2 linked regions of the Caenorhabditis elegans genome follow. The protein of the gene in region 1 purifies or fractionates together with the protein of each later gene. This does not show direct contact. Each region holds a gene or a part of one and is shown on either strand. Other genes may lie near its edges.

Evidence for each region. The genes of interacting proteins can lie anywhere in the genome.
Region 2: the proteins of E04F6.9 (region 1) and R102.2 fractionate together in Caenorhabditis elegans (co-fractionation; one large-scale study listed by BioGRID). This does not show direct contact.

Annotation. Positions count from the first base shown.
Region 1 is NC_003280.10:7,208,845-7,215,465, forward strand, and holds E04F6.9 (Periplasmic protein), read right to left. Parts: upstream 3,316-6,621; 5' UTR 3,313-3,315; coding exon 3,229-3,312; intron 3,183-3,228; coding exon 2,958-3,182; intron 2,914-2,957; coding exon 2,836-2,913; 3' UTR 2,781-2,835; downstream 1-2,780. Other genes in the region: E04F6.15 (DeHydrogenases, Short chain), read right to left, coding at 20-553, 604-712, 980-1,239, 1,369-1,425; E04F6.8 (Cuticle protein), read right to left, coding at 1,954-2,028, 2,075-2,299, 2,449-2,535; E04F6.10 (uncharacterized protein), read right to left, coding at 5,991-6,143.
Region 2 is NC_003282.8:10,683,415-10,689,745, reverse strand, and holds R102.2 (DUF4440 domain-containing protein), read right to left. Parts: upstream 2,140-6,331; 5' UTR 2,099-2,139; coding exon 2,095-2,098; intron 2,046-2,094; coding exon 1,672-2,045; 3' UTR 1,611-1,671; downstream 1-1,610. Other genes in the region: R102.8 (TransThyretin-Related family domain), read left to right, coding at 10-130; R102.1 (DUF4440 domain-containing protein), read right to left, coding at 2,701-3,074, 3,154-3,157; K08C7.6 (GLPGLI family protein), read left to right, coding at 3,903-3,977, 4,030-4,162, 4,464-4,567, 4,621-4,839, 4,887-5,027, 5,094-5,279; fmo-2 (Flavin-containing monooxygenase), read right to left, coding at 5,420-6,299.

The sequences.
Region 1 (6,621 bases):
CGATAATTAAAATCTAACTTTATGAGTCCAAATACTTCATGATAAGTTTTTCTGAATGTTCCCATAAAGCTTCTTGAAGTTCTTCGTCTCTTGAAACTTTTTTGTCCAAATTCTTTTCATCATCCCAACACGATTCCCAATACTTTCCGGACAGTTCTTTCACTTCAGGATGTACTGCACAATAAAGACTTGTTGCTGCTCCCTGGCTTGCATTCTTTGTAAATGGGATTGATAGAAAGTCAGCAATGCTCCATAAACCAAAATCTCTATGAAGATCTGTGCGAACTCCAGATCCTGGATGAACTGCATAAACACTTATTCTATTTTTAAATTCATCTCGATGCAATTTGAATGCGGTTAGAATGTTACACATTTTTGATTTTGCATACAGGCGGAAATACCATTGAGTTGCTTCTTTTGGACAAAGTGTGTCAAGCTTTTCCACAATTCTGGAATCAGGTTTGACGCATGTATGCTTGCTGAGCATTGATGTAACTATTACAATTCTTGATGGTGCTGATTCTCGAAGAACTGGCAGAAGCTCCTTAATTAACTGCAAGAATAATTCAGTTAAGATCGGGTTTTTTTTGTAAAAAATCATACAATAAAATGAGCAAGATGATTGATTCCAAAATGAGCTTCAAATCCATCGGATGTTGTTTTTTCACTTGGACCAAAAACTCCAGCATTCAAAATTAATCCATGGAGTGGCCTAAGAATAGATCAAAGATAAGGGAGGCAGGATTAATAAAATACAATATTTAAGTGATGAGTTTGGAGGATATTAGTTTAAAACGGAAATAACTTAACATGGGTTTTCAAAATTTCACTAAAATTTTAGATCTCTGATTAAAACCCGTCTTGTCTCAGAGAAAATTTGAATATAGAGACACCAAAATATTTCTCCATTTCTAACTTCGGTTTTTCGGAACTCTTTAGATCATTTTAAGTTTTTAAATGTATCAACTTTATCGCTTACCATTTCTGTTCTAAGTATTCATCTGCTGCCTTCTTCACAGATGATAGTGAATTCAAATCACATTGAACAATATCAATTTGAGCATTTGGAGTTTCAATTAGGAGAGATTTCTTCGATGCTTCAGATGCTGTATAATTCCTGTTTATCATTACAACGTGAGCTCCTTTTAAAATCAATGCTTTAGCAGTCTCAACTCCGATCCCAGATGTTGTTCCAGTAATTGCAAATGTTTTACCAGAAAGGTCAATACCATCCAATACCTGAAAACGGATTCAATTATAGCAAGAATTTGAAACAGATTAAAAACACTAGGGAGTAGGACATCATCGAATTTTTAAAACTTAAATTTAGGAAATTGATGAAACATTTAATACTAAAAGAACGCTTACTTCTAGTGCATTTGTTCTTGAATGAAACTGCCGTTTCCTCTTACCATCAGCAACCATTCTGAAAATGAAAAAATTGATGAGTTTCTGAATTTCCTGTTTTATATTGAGAAATTATGATGTGAAGTTCAATGAATATTGGTAAAACTGTAGCTAAATTGACATATTTATCTCTATATTCATGTCATATTTTCAGGTGAAACGAGGAAAATGATCGATGCAAGTTGAATGATTTTTCATTTTCTTATCAGTAAAGTAGTACTTTCGAATAAGAAAAAAACTTACTATAAGATTCGCCTTATTGGAATTAAAAATCACACTAATTTCCCTATTTGTCTTGCGGTTTAATTTTAAATAGCCGAAAAAAATAGTAAAAATAGAAATAGTGTTACAGAAAATATTTAACAGATCAGTGCGGAATTTGCTCTGGAGATATTTTAACAGAACTTTTTGTGGGCGTGAAACAGTTACTACATTCAAATTTCTTTTCCAAATAATGGTTAAATAATTCCTTCAAACAGGTTTTTACGAAATATTGCAAACAATTTATTGTTATTTAAAAGAATTTATTGAAACAGTTTTTAAAAGTTATTGAAGAGAAAGTTTGAGAACTGGCGCGGCAACTCCAGAAAATCCATGATCCGTTTTCGTTTTGATAATTTTCTGAAATTAATACTTTTTCAATTCGGGAATTTCAGGAATTCAATACCGTTGGATATTCAGAATATGATCCAACATCAGCTTTTGTGAACTTTTTGATGACCAAATGTCCGTTATTCTCTTCATAATTTGACGAGTCAATAGCTTTTCCATTAGCATCCACAAACACTCCTTTGTTTTCTCCTTCGAAATGGAAAATCTGTTCGCCAGCGTCAACGGATCTCTGGATTGCCTTGGCTCCTTTGAAAAGTTCAATTTGCACTTTTTCGCCATCCTAAAATGGAATTTGTAAAATACTACTTGGTATTTCAAAATAAGAAAACTTTTGAAGTTTCGAGTAGTTTTGAGAAATACATTTAAAATTTCCTGTAGAAGCATGAACAACAGTTTTTAAACTATTGTCAGATAAAAAACTTTACAAACCTTAACTTCTTGAACTGCAATTGATCCTTCTCCAAACTGAAGAACAAAGGCAATCAGTATAAACGAAGAAATCAAAAACCGGCTCATTCTGAAAATGATAAAAAAAATTTAAGGAAAGCTTTTATTGAAAACAATTCAAAAAGCTCCTGAAACAAAGTTTTCTCAGATGATTTTGAGAGAAAAAAGAATGAAGAAAGAAAACATCTCTAGAACCCATTAAATAGTGACGAATGAGACTTGATTTATTGGTCACCTGTTGACTGAATAGAGGTCACGCCTATTTCTGTTCTGACTCACATTTTTGTTTATTTTTGCAAAGTTTGCACGAAATTGTTTTAAAAATTTTATTTAGAGAAATTATTAGAACACATTCCGAATGAAATTTGTTTATTGCAGGGAGATATCAAGAGTGAGTCCTGGAACAGCGGAGATGGATCCATCAGCGTGCTTGGTTTCGGTGTTTTTCTGAAATAAAACATTTCTAATTATTTCTCCCACTGAAAACTTACAGCTGGGTGCTCGGAGTAGGTTCCAACATCGGCCTTGGTGAACTTCTTAATGATAAGGATTCCGTTATTAGCTTCATAATTGGTTGACTCAATCTTCTTTCCCTTAGCATCAACAAATGATCCCTTGTTATCTCCGTCAAGGTGGAAGATTTGATCTCCACCGGCAACGGTTCTCTTGATTGCCTTGGCTCCCTTGAAAGCATCGATTTCAACTTTTTCTCCGTCCTGAAAATGATTTTTTGTTATTTTTCAAATAGGAGTTACAACAAACCTTAACCTGCTGTTGAGCAACGGCAGCATCGGATATGGCAAAGATGGCAACAAGGAGGAAAGCGGAAAGAATGAAGCGGTTCATTTTCTGAAATTTTATTTAATTTTCAAGAATGAAAAAAGTTTTGTGAATTGACACGAAATTCAGAAGAACAATTGAAAGAAAAAGCACAAAATCTTAAAGTGATGAAACCTTTCTCTTGGAACAACAATAAATAGTGTCGTCAGCCAGAAGATACTGCCTTCGAATGAAAAAAATAGGGTAAGCACCTCCGCTGGTTAAACTAAACGCCCAGCCCACTTTGCAATCAATCACTTTGTTTTTATCATTTGTTTGTTGGCTAGAGTGAGAGAAAATATCCTTCTTGTTATCAGAGTTATACAAAAAATCCTACAGAGTTGGAACACGGAACTAGAAAATGAGGATTCGTTTCCTTAGACTGTTCAAAGAATGTCATTTGGAGAAGTATTGAAAATGGAACAATCAGGAAGTTTATTTGTTCTTAAGATCAATGTGAGAACACTATGAAAGTTCACAATGATGGGATTGAGAAGGTCGTGTTTTGAGGCGCGTAGCTTTTTTTACTGATAGATGTGAAGTTTACAGGATGTTTAGTCGATTTTTAATATGTCGTTTTTTAGTTGGAAAGATAATTTAATTGATAAATTAGAGTACTTTAGAGTTCCAAAAATTACTGATAATACATAATTATGCCTCAAAAAAATTACGTGTATGTGTAGTTAGCTTTACCGCTAATAAGAGTTTAGTAAATAAGAAAAGAGGTGAATCGAATGTGTCTTATCTGAAACCGATTTATGCCATTTTGTGGCCAAGCAAACTTTTATAGTCCCTATCTTAATTGAATTATGTTGTGATGGAAAGTAAGAAATCAATAGAGCGGAAATTTTCTTTTTTGAATTTTTTTAACTGATCAAAAACACCTTCTATATTTTTGATGAATTATTATTTCTAATTCACAAAAGACGAGATTGTGTGCTCAAGATTGAAACAGGTTTTAAAACAATCAATTTGAAGGCGAACTTGAAGGCGACTAATAATTTTTAGGACTAGAAAAAAAAACGGTCTTATTATCAGAATATTACAACGCATAATAAAAAATTTAAACATCAGATATAAAATATACGTTCTGTGAGTTAAATGAATAACGTTTCAAAGGCTGAGGCCTTACAGATTCTTCAGCTCTTTTTATACTCTACAAACTTTGTGTTATTCTTGAAAATTTTCCGACCTTCGGATCAGTTTCCGTCACAACAAGTGAATGAGTCAGTAACAACAGTTGACACTTTCATCGTTAAGATTCTTTTCTTATCGTTCCAACTCATAAAAATGGATGAAATGAATTGTGAAAACAGGATTTCGAAGTGTGGAAATTTTGAACATTCTTCTAAAAAGATCAAATTGATCTGAATCATCAGAGTATATGAAAAACGTACAAAAAGTTAAACAATCAGATGCATTTGTTTGATTATTTTGAAAACCTATCGTCTACCGAGATTGACCTAGGCTATGACAAAATGATAACAAAATAAATAAAACTGTTAATATTCATGTTTGCACAATCCATTACAAATATATATAAAAACTTTGCCATGAAGGAATTTTGAATTATCCAATAAGACTTCCTGAAACTTTTTGAAAGTGGAGTATTCTGGGGAATTTTATTAAACTTCACCATATCATTTCCCTTTAAGGGACTATTTTTTCAAGTGAATAACATGTCAGTGGTTGACTATCATTTCATTCCTGGATTAGTTGTTCCACATCGTCCCATGTACACCATCACTCTTCTTAGCTTGCCGCTTTTTTCGACGTCTTCTTCTCCTCCTTCCAGTCACATTCAAATCATCACCATCTATCATCAGTCGCCTTTTTTGGCTCACATTTTGTTGCTTTTTGCCCAGAAAAGGAATTTATTATTACCAGAAAAAAAAGGATTGGGATGAAGGAAAAAAGGGAAACATTTATGGAGGAAATATATAGCAAATGACAAATTGGCAGAATGTTTTGGAAATCGTACGGTAAAAAGAAAAGGAAAGAAGCATTGGGTCTATGTTGATAGAATGGAAAAACTAGAAAATTTATCTACCCGTAATGAATGAAGAGTTTTTGAATAAATAAATTGTCTTAAAGAAATAAAACTACAAACGTTTAATCACCAGCATCGAGTCTTCGCTAATCGTACGATCGATGGTTGGTATTGATGAATAAGAAGTCGATCGACGAGTAGTAAGAATTGGAGTACAAATTGAAAGAGTTGGAGATGAATGACGCCAATTGGATAGGGTTATTGTTGGATCATCGTCATCTTCAGATATTTCAATATCGGTCTGACAATCATCTTCCCGAAAGGAATATGTTGGGGCAGGTGATGCAGGAAAATGTAAAAATGTGGAAGGTCCTGAAATGAATGTTGGAAGAAGTTAGAAAGTTTTGTTCAGTAGGTCACAGTTTCCCCGCTCGAACCTAGTTAAACAGTATATCACAGTGTTTTAGAATTACACGAATGTTGTGTTCTGAGAAAATTGTTTCCTAATGACTTTCTTATTATTCATAAGTGTTACTTTGCGTTTCTTCTCACTCTCAGACTTGGATTATTTGTTTGTTTATACGCTTATTTGTTCTGTTCCCACATTTAAACTATCACTTCAAAAGTACCTGAAACCAATGAAGGAACCGATCCATCCAAACCCGTTCTCTCAGTCTCAATAACATCTACACACTCGCCAATCGGCTCATAGTCGTTACGTGATGGGATTCTTGTTGATTTTTTGATGGGTTGCCTGAGCGACCGGCACGCGACCAGACGGACCCCTTTCGAATCGATGTTCCAATTCGTATTCTCCACGTTGTCGCTGGCTTTGAAAAAACCGAATACACATGAAGATGGCTCCTCCCTGGAAAAGAACAGAATGAATTAATTGGTGTATGGCATGGTGGCAGCTTATTGGTAATCTCTCTTCTTGATTGATGAGGGGAGCATCAAGTCATTAATCAAACTAGGTTTTACATTTCTAATGTTGTTGGAATGCAATAGAATAAGACACCTGTTATAAGTTATACAATGAATGAAGAAACATATTTCGGCGGGGAAGATGTGTCAAGAGCGACCACAAAATGATTAATTGTCAGCTGATGCTCAGAGATTGTGGCATAATTTGATTGTTGGCTCGACAATTGGGAAATAAATTTTGAAAAAAAGAAAAAGAAAAAGAATAAAGAAAACGAAGTTTCAAAAAAAATTATTACACATTTGACTGACACCTCAAATGTGTATATGCAGAAGATCTGATGCTGTCAACTATACTAATTCAGAGTGCACATTTGATTTACTCAATTAGTTCAATCTTGGCAAAGCATGATATTCTTCATAGT
Region 2 (6,331 bases), on another chromosome or scaffold:
TTCTTTCAGTTCTTGCCATTATCGTATTATTCAAGACATTTCCGGAGCTCAAGGAGAGAAAAATATTCAAGCCGATGCATTGGTTGTTGGAGGAAACTTCACTTCGTTCCCAGATTTTTCTCTCATGTAATAAACTTTCTGTGGTTAATTTTAATATAAACCTGAAGTAAAATTTTTGGAAAATCTTTCAAAGTATACGGTGAAAAATACTAGCAAGTGCTAATTGTGAAAGACACTGTGACTGCATGGTTCTCCAATTTTTCCGGTTTCCCCTCTATCTGTTTTCATGTTCACGTAAGCATACAAATGCCAGCTTGTTCCGCCCACCGAGAACTAAAGTTTATTCGGTAGGCATGTAAGCAAGCAAGCACGAGGGAGGTATCTACGTTGGAAGATGTATCTGCCTTGTTCTAACCGAAAGTTGCAAACCCAATATTCATGTGGTTTCTGCCTCTTCGAACAAAACTTGCAAAACATATTTTTGTTTCTTCGTGCGAATGAATGTGTTTATAGTGGTTAACCACTAAAAAAGAAGCATGAAACCATGGTTTCATGCTTCTTTTTTTCAGAAATCACATATTTCTTGGAAGCATATCGCGTGAGTAAGATATTTGTGATCAACATCAACACGGGCAAAGTACAACTACATAAAACTTGTACTTCAATCCCTAGGTTATAGACTTTTTAAACGAATTTTACGAAAAAGTGTAACATTAAATGCACATTTCAGCAGTAAGAAATATTTCTGAAATTTTGACAAAGAGCGCAATGCAGCTTGATTACTTTTCTCGAGTGGCTCCAAAATCTGATATATAGCATATGTAGTTGTCGCGAATGCGGTTCAGTGGCATCGCTCTTACACATCATTATTAATAAAAAACTTTATTGACACAACATCAGACGATCTCCAAAGCAAAGAGAGTTCATTTGAGTTAAATCTGAACTGGTGTTTCTTCCACAATCTCCTCCTTATATAGACATCTGATATGACCTTCCACGCAATGGTCGCAAAGGTTATTCCACGGGTTTATTGGAAGTTCATTGTAACCTTTGATCATAGAACTCTTACGTTATAGAGTTTCCTTTCTTGTTGTAGAAGTGCGGTCATGTTGAAGTTGCTTGATTCATCCTATCGCGAAAGTAGTGCCTGACTTATCAAAAGCCGGTTCAAATTCAATTTTCCGCTGTTAATTGGATACATAATTGTGCTCTGAAATTTAGAATCTATTTCATCTGGAAGCCTGGGAATTATATTTGAAAAGCCAGCTGAAAATGTTGTTGAGCTACTTCCAGGTGTTTATTACTGAAATTGTTGAAAACATAAATTAATTTTTTTCTGAAAGCCACAATTATATATTTTTAGTCCAACTTGTAGAAAAGGAAAACGACATTTATTTTGAGACCGTAAACAGAAATTAGCGTGTTAGATTTTTTTCCCATATTTTGGAGCAAATTTGTTGGTTTCTAGAACTTTTCAACTATGATTTCTAGTAGACGTTAAGGCCTGAAAGAACATTGAGTTAAAGCAGCCTAAATTATATCCAACTTTTGTTCTTTTTTCTGAAAACTGGTTATCATTCTGAAGCCACTACAATTAACACAACAAATTTCAGATTAACACGGTTTTTATTTCACAACTGTAGAAATAAATAAAATCAATGAATACATGATTTATTGTGGGATTGGAGCCTTGAAGGTGATGCACGAGTTACGGATCTTCCATGCTCCTCCTTCCTTGACCCAGACGGTGAGTGACCATCCGTTCTTGTCGCCAGTTGGCAACTTGGCGCTGATGGAGCAGCGCTCGACGACGACATCTCCGATTTGAGTGACTTCGTCAATCTTGACGTCAAAATCGGCCTTGACGAGAGCAGCCATCTTGTCACTTTGAGCCAACTTGGCGGCCTCATCAGCGGTGCATGGATCGTGGAGTGGTCCGATGAAGACGGCATCCTTGGCAGCGAACTTCTTGGCGAACTCATCGTGCTTTCCGGCGTTCTTCAATGCCTTCATCTCATCGTGGAACTTTTGGAACTCGGCCTTTGCTGAAAGAGAAACATTTGATAAAGTTTCAAAACTAATTCTTTAACTTACACATGGCTAGTTGGGAGAGCAGTAGATGTGAAGACAAAGGTCTCCTGTTTGCAGCTACTGAAGTTTTCAATACATTCAGCCGTTCTTTTATACTCCTCTCGTTGCCATGGTTTTAATTGAAGCTTAGCAACGAGCAGAAACCATAGTGAAGAAGCCGACTGATCAAGTTTTCGAAAAATGTGACCATGAGAATATAGGGCTTGAAGTTGAACTTTTGAGCACACAAGGGAGAGTGTATCATTTGTAGTTTATGTGACTTGAGCTTCTGAACCAGAAGAAGAAGTTTCCCAAAGGAAGTGCCATGAAAAACTAGGCTCTTGAAAACATTATATATAGTGGTTTTTGAACTTTCAACTTTACAAAAATTATTTCTAGACTCTAGGAAGATCCTCGCGAAACTCCCAGTAAACTTGTTCAAAGAGGATAATATATGCTTGATACTGAACTAATAACTTATCAAAATTTTTATAGCTAAATTTTTAAAATCGGTGCAAAATCTCCTGAATTTTCAAAACAAAATAATAAAAAAATCAAGTGGACTTTTGAATTAACATGGGTTTATTTCACAACTGTTGAAATAAAGCAAATCAAATAAAATTTGATAATTTATGCCGATGGGACAACCTTGAACGTGGTGCACGAGTTACGGATCTTCCATGCTCCTCCATCCTTGACCCAGACACAGAGGGACCATCCAGTCTTGTCCCCGCTTGCAACCTTGGCGTGGATGGTGCAACGCTCGATGACGACGTCCCCGATTGGAGTGATCTCGTCAATAGTGATATTGAACTCTCCCTTTGAGACGGCAGCCATCATCTCGCTTTTTGCAAACTTGGCAGCTTCATTCACATTGGCTGGCTCGTGGAGTGGACCCATGAAGATGGCATCTTTGGTAACAAACTTCTTAGCAAACTCGTCTTGCTTTCCGGCGGCTTTCAATGCCTTCATCTCATCGTGGATTTTTTGGAACTCAGCTTTGGCTGAAATGTCAAAATTTTCAATGTACATAAGCACGGAAACATTCTAAGGAAATTCAGAAAAAAACAAAGAAAAACTTACTCATTGTTGGTTTGGATGTAGAAGATAAAGACGTTTGTCAAAATATGGAGCTTCTGAATTTTCCACTTTTGCCATTATTCTTTTATACTGCTCCAGTTGTCATGGCACAATTGGTTCTAAGCAACGTGGCACAAACCACAGATGGGAAACCAGACGATCATGTTTCATAAAAGCGTGATCTCGAGAATATAAGGAATATAGAATGGACTCTTAGTCACAAAATATGTGATTTTCGTAATGTAAAATTATAATATTGGGGTTCTGAATCGGAAAAAGGACACACTTTTGTGCTTTTTGGAGTTCCCGGAAATTCATTACATTTTTCGATAGATCAAACTTGTGAATCTAAAAGATTAATCCAAAGATCAAAAGAATACCGGAATCCCAAAAGCGTGAAAACCAGGTGTTACTCTAAAATTTAATTAAGAAAAAACATGAATCGAAGAATATATGAATGTGACGTTAATTATGCATATTCAAGCATATTTTAGCCATGCCGTTTTTTCTTAATAATTTTCCAATTTTTCGGGCATCGATCAATCGCATGTGTATAGCTGGAACATGTGCTTGCCCGAGATGCACACTCTTTTCCAATTCGACAATTGTTCTCGATGCAGAAAATGAACTGACGGATACATCACAGAAGTTGCAGAGACGCCGAGATATCGAGATTTTCTTCATGTTGTGGCCATCATGCCGGATATCTATTTGATGATCTGAATTATTTCATTTTTCCGGATTCGATTGATATGATTATCCTAACATTCCTTTTGTTTTGTGCAACAGTTGTTGCAGAAAATTCGATCCATATTCAGTATTTTAGGGTAATACATATTAACATAAAGTTTTCAATAAACTACAATTACATTTTTTCAGAGGCCTGAAGAGTATGGAATCTTCAAAGTGATTATCGATGGATCTAGGCAATGGGAAAGTTATATTTATATGAATAGATCTGCAAATTTAAGAGAAGAAGAGATTTATAAGTTGGTGAAGCCGTTTTTTGAGCGTGAGTATTTCACATTTGTCTGTGTATTTATTAAGCTTTCCAAACATTATACCAAAAAGTTGGAAACTTAAAAAAAACAACTGAGAACAAAATCAGAAAACTTAGAAAGTAACTCAAATTTTGAATTGAAAGAGCACACTCAAAAAAGTATTTTATGCGACAAGACTCATCGCTTTAATTAAGATTTATCCTTTCCGTTTTAAGTCGATTTTATTCTAAAAATTAAAAAAAAACAGACCTGGTGGCTTTAAACTAAATCTTGTATCGCAACACATTTTTAGTGAGTTTCAATATTTTCCAGAAGATCCATCAACAAGACGGTATGAATCTTCTTCAATCACGAGGCATCTTGGAAAACAGTTTGAGTATATTCTGAACAGATATACAATTGATGAAATTGCCTTTGTAAGCGCTAAAAACGTTTTAAACCTATTATTATAATATTAAGAGATTTCTAGGAAAACTTATGCAGCCAGATGAAGCCCAAGTTTTCTTCAATTATTTTATCTACAACTCAAACACCTAAAAAGATTAAGTGGGTCGTTGAGCATCCGAGTGCTCCATTCACAATTCCAACTGGATTCACAAAGAATATGGGGAGAGATGAGTATCAGATTGAAATTGGTGGAAAAGCTAAATTGGATGACGATAACTTTGATTTCGAAGCATTGCAAAATGTGGGTTATTTAAATCTGTTTCTAGGCATTTTTTAGTAATTTTTCAGACACAAAAGTTGATTATCAAACAGCCAACGGAGTTCAAAAATGGAGTAAACGGGAAACGACTTTTGAAGTTTTTTGCTCCAGAACTTTACATGGAGGGGACAAATGAGATAGATTCGGATAGTTTGAAAGAATTCGGAAAGGTTAGTTTTTTCTTTGTTTTACACCTGTTTGCAAATAAAATAAAAGTAACATTTTTTATGTTCCAGGAGTGGCTCGAGGGAGATCGTATTGTTCGAAATTGGGAAATCCATCTTTACGACGAAAAACAATCAGAGAATCTTTACTTCGAGAAAAATGGAACAACTCTTCAACTTACTATTGAGAATGGTCGTTTTACCGCATCAACTTATAAGACGCCGGAAGGTCTCATTTATACGTTTACTTCTCTGTGATATAAATTTAATTTCGGAATAAATGAAAGTTAATGAGTGAAAGTGCAAAGAATAGAAGCATGACATTTTACTATGGATCACAAGTATTACATATATCGATTTCCTGAATCTAACTTTATTTACACACTGAAATGGAATATTTACATGACAAAATAGATAACAAGCAAAAGTATAATAGAAGAGATCACTAGTGGAACAGTGTAATTGGTAGGCTCCGGTTTGGTTGTAGTTGCCATTCGGACACGTTGATCAATAGTCAAAATCGCATTTCTGGCACCGTTCCAAGTGTGTGGCCCAGCCAATCTGTAGCAATACCCTGCGTTTGGACCAAAGAAGAGGCGAAGACCAAGAACTGGATCAGTAAATAGTGTTCGAAGAAGTGGGACTTGACATCCAATAAGCTCTGCGAGTTCATCCATATATGGAATATAATCGACTTGAATAGTGTGACGTCTGGATTTTACGAACTGCTGAGCCATTGCTTCTTTTTTATTCAAAACATCCTCAGACATCTGTGACTTTTTAGGAATTAAATTGTTTCCAGAAACCATGTTGGCAAAGAATACACGAGCTTGTTGTTCGGAAACTGGCATAATTGATCCAAATGGTTGAATGAGACCAATGATGCACAAGGAATTATGATCGGAAGTAGCCACTGGGAACATGTATTTGAAAAGGTCCACCTCATTCTCACTAACTGGAACCAACTTTCCGTGTTCAATTAAATTAAATTCAAATGAGAATCCAGTTGACATCACGACCTCGTCGACATGAGGAACAATAGTTCCATCTTCAAAATGAATAGCGTATCCATCGAATTTCTTGATGTTTGGCTTGATTCTGACTGTACCGTTGGCGATTCGATTCGGAAGTTCATCGTTTAAAGATGGATGAGCAGAAAACACACGATGAGCTGGCTTTAGTCCGTACAAATCGTGATCAATACGTTGATTGATACGATATTCAACAAGGGAGTTAAGCATAGCTTGAGGAAACAGTTTGTAGAGTGAGAAGAAACGCCTGAAAATGTGCATGCTAATGTAGAATCCGTT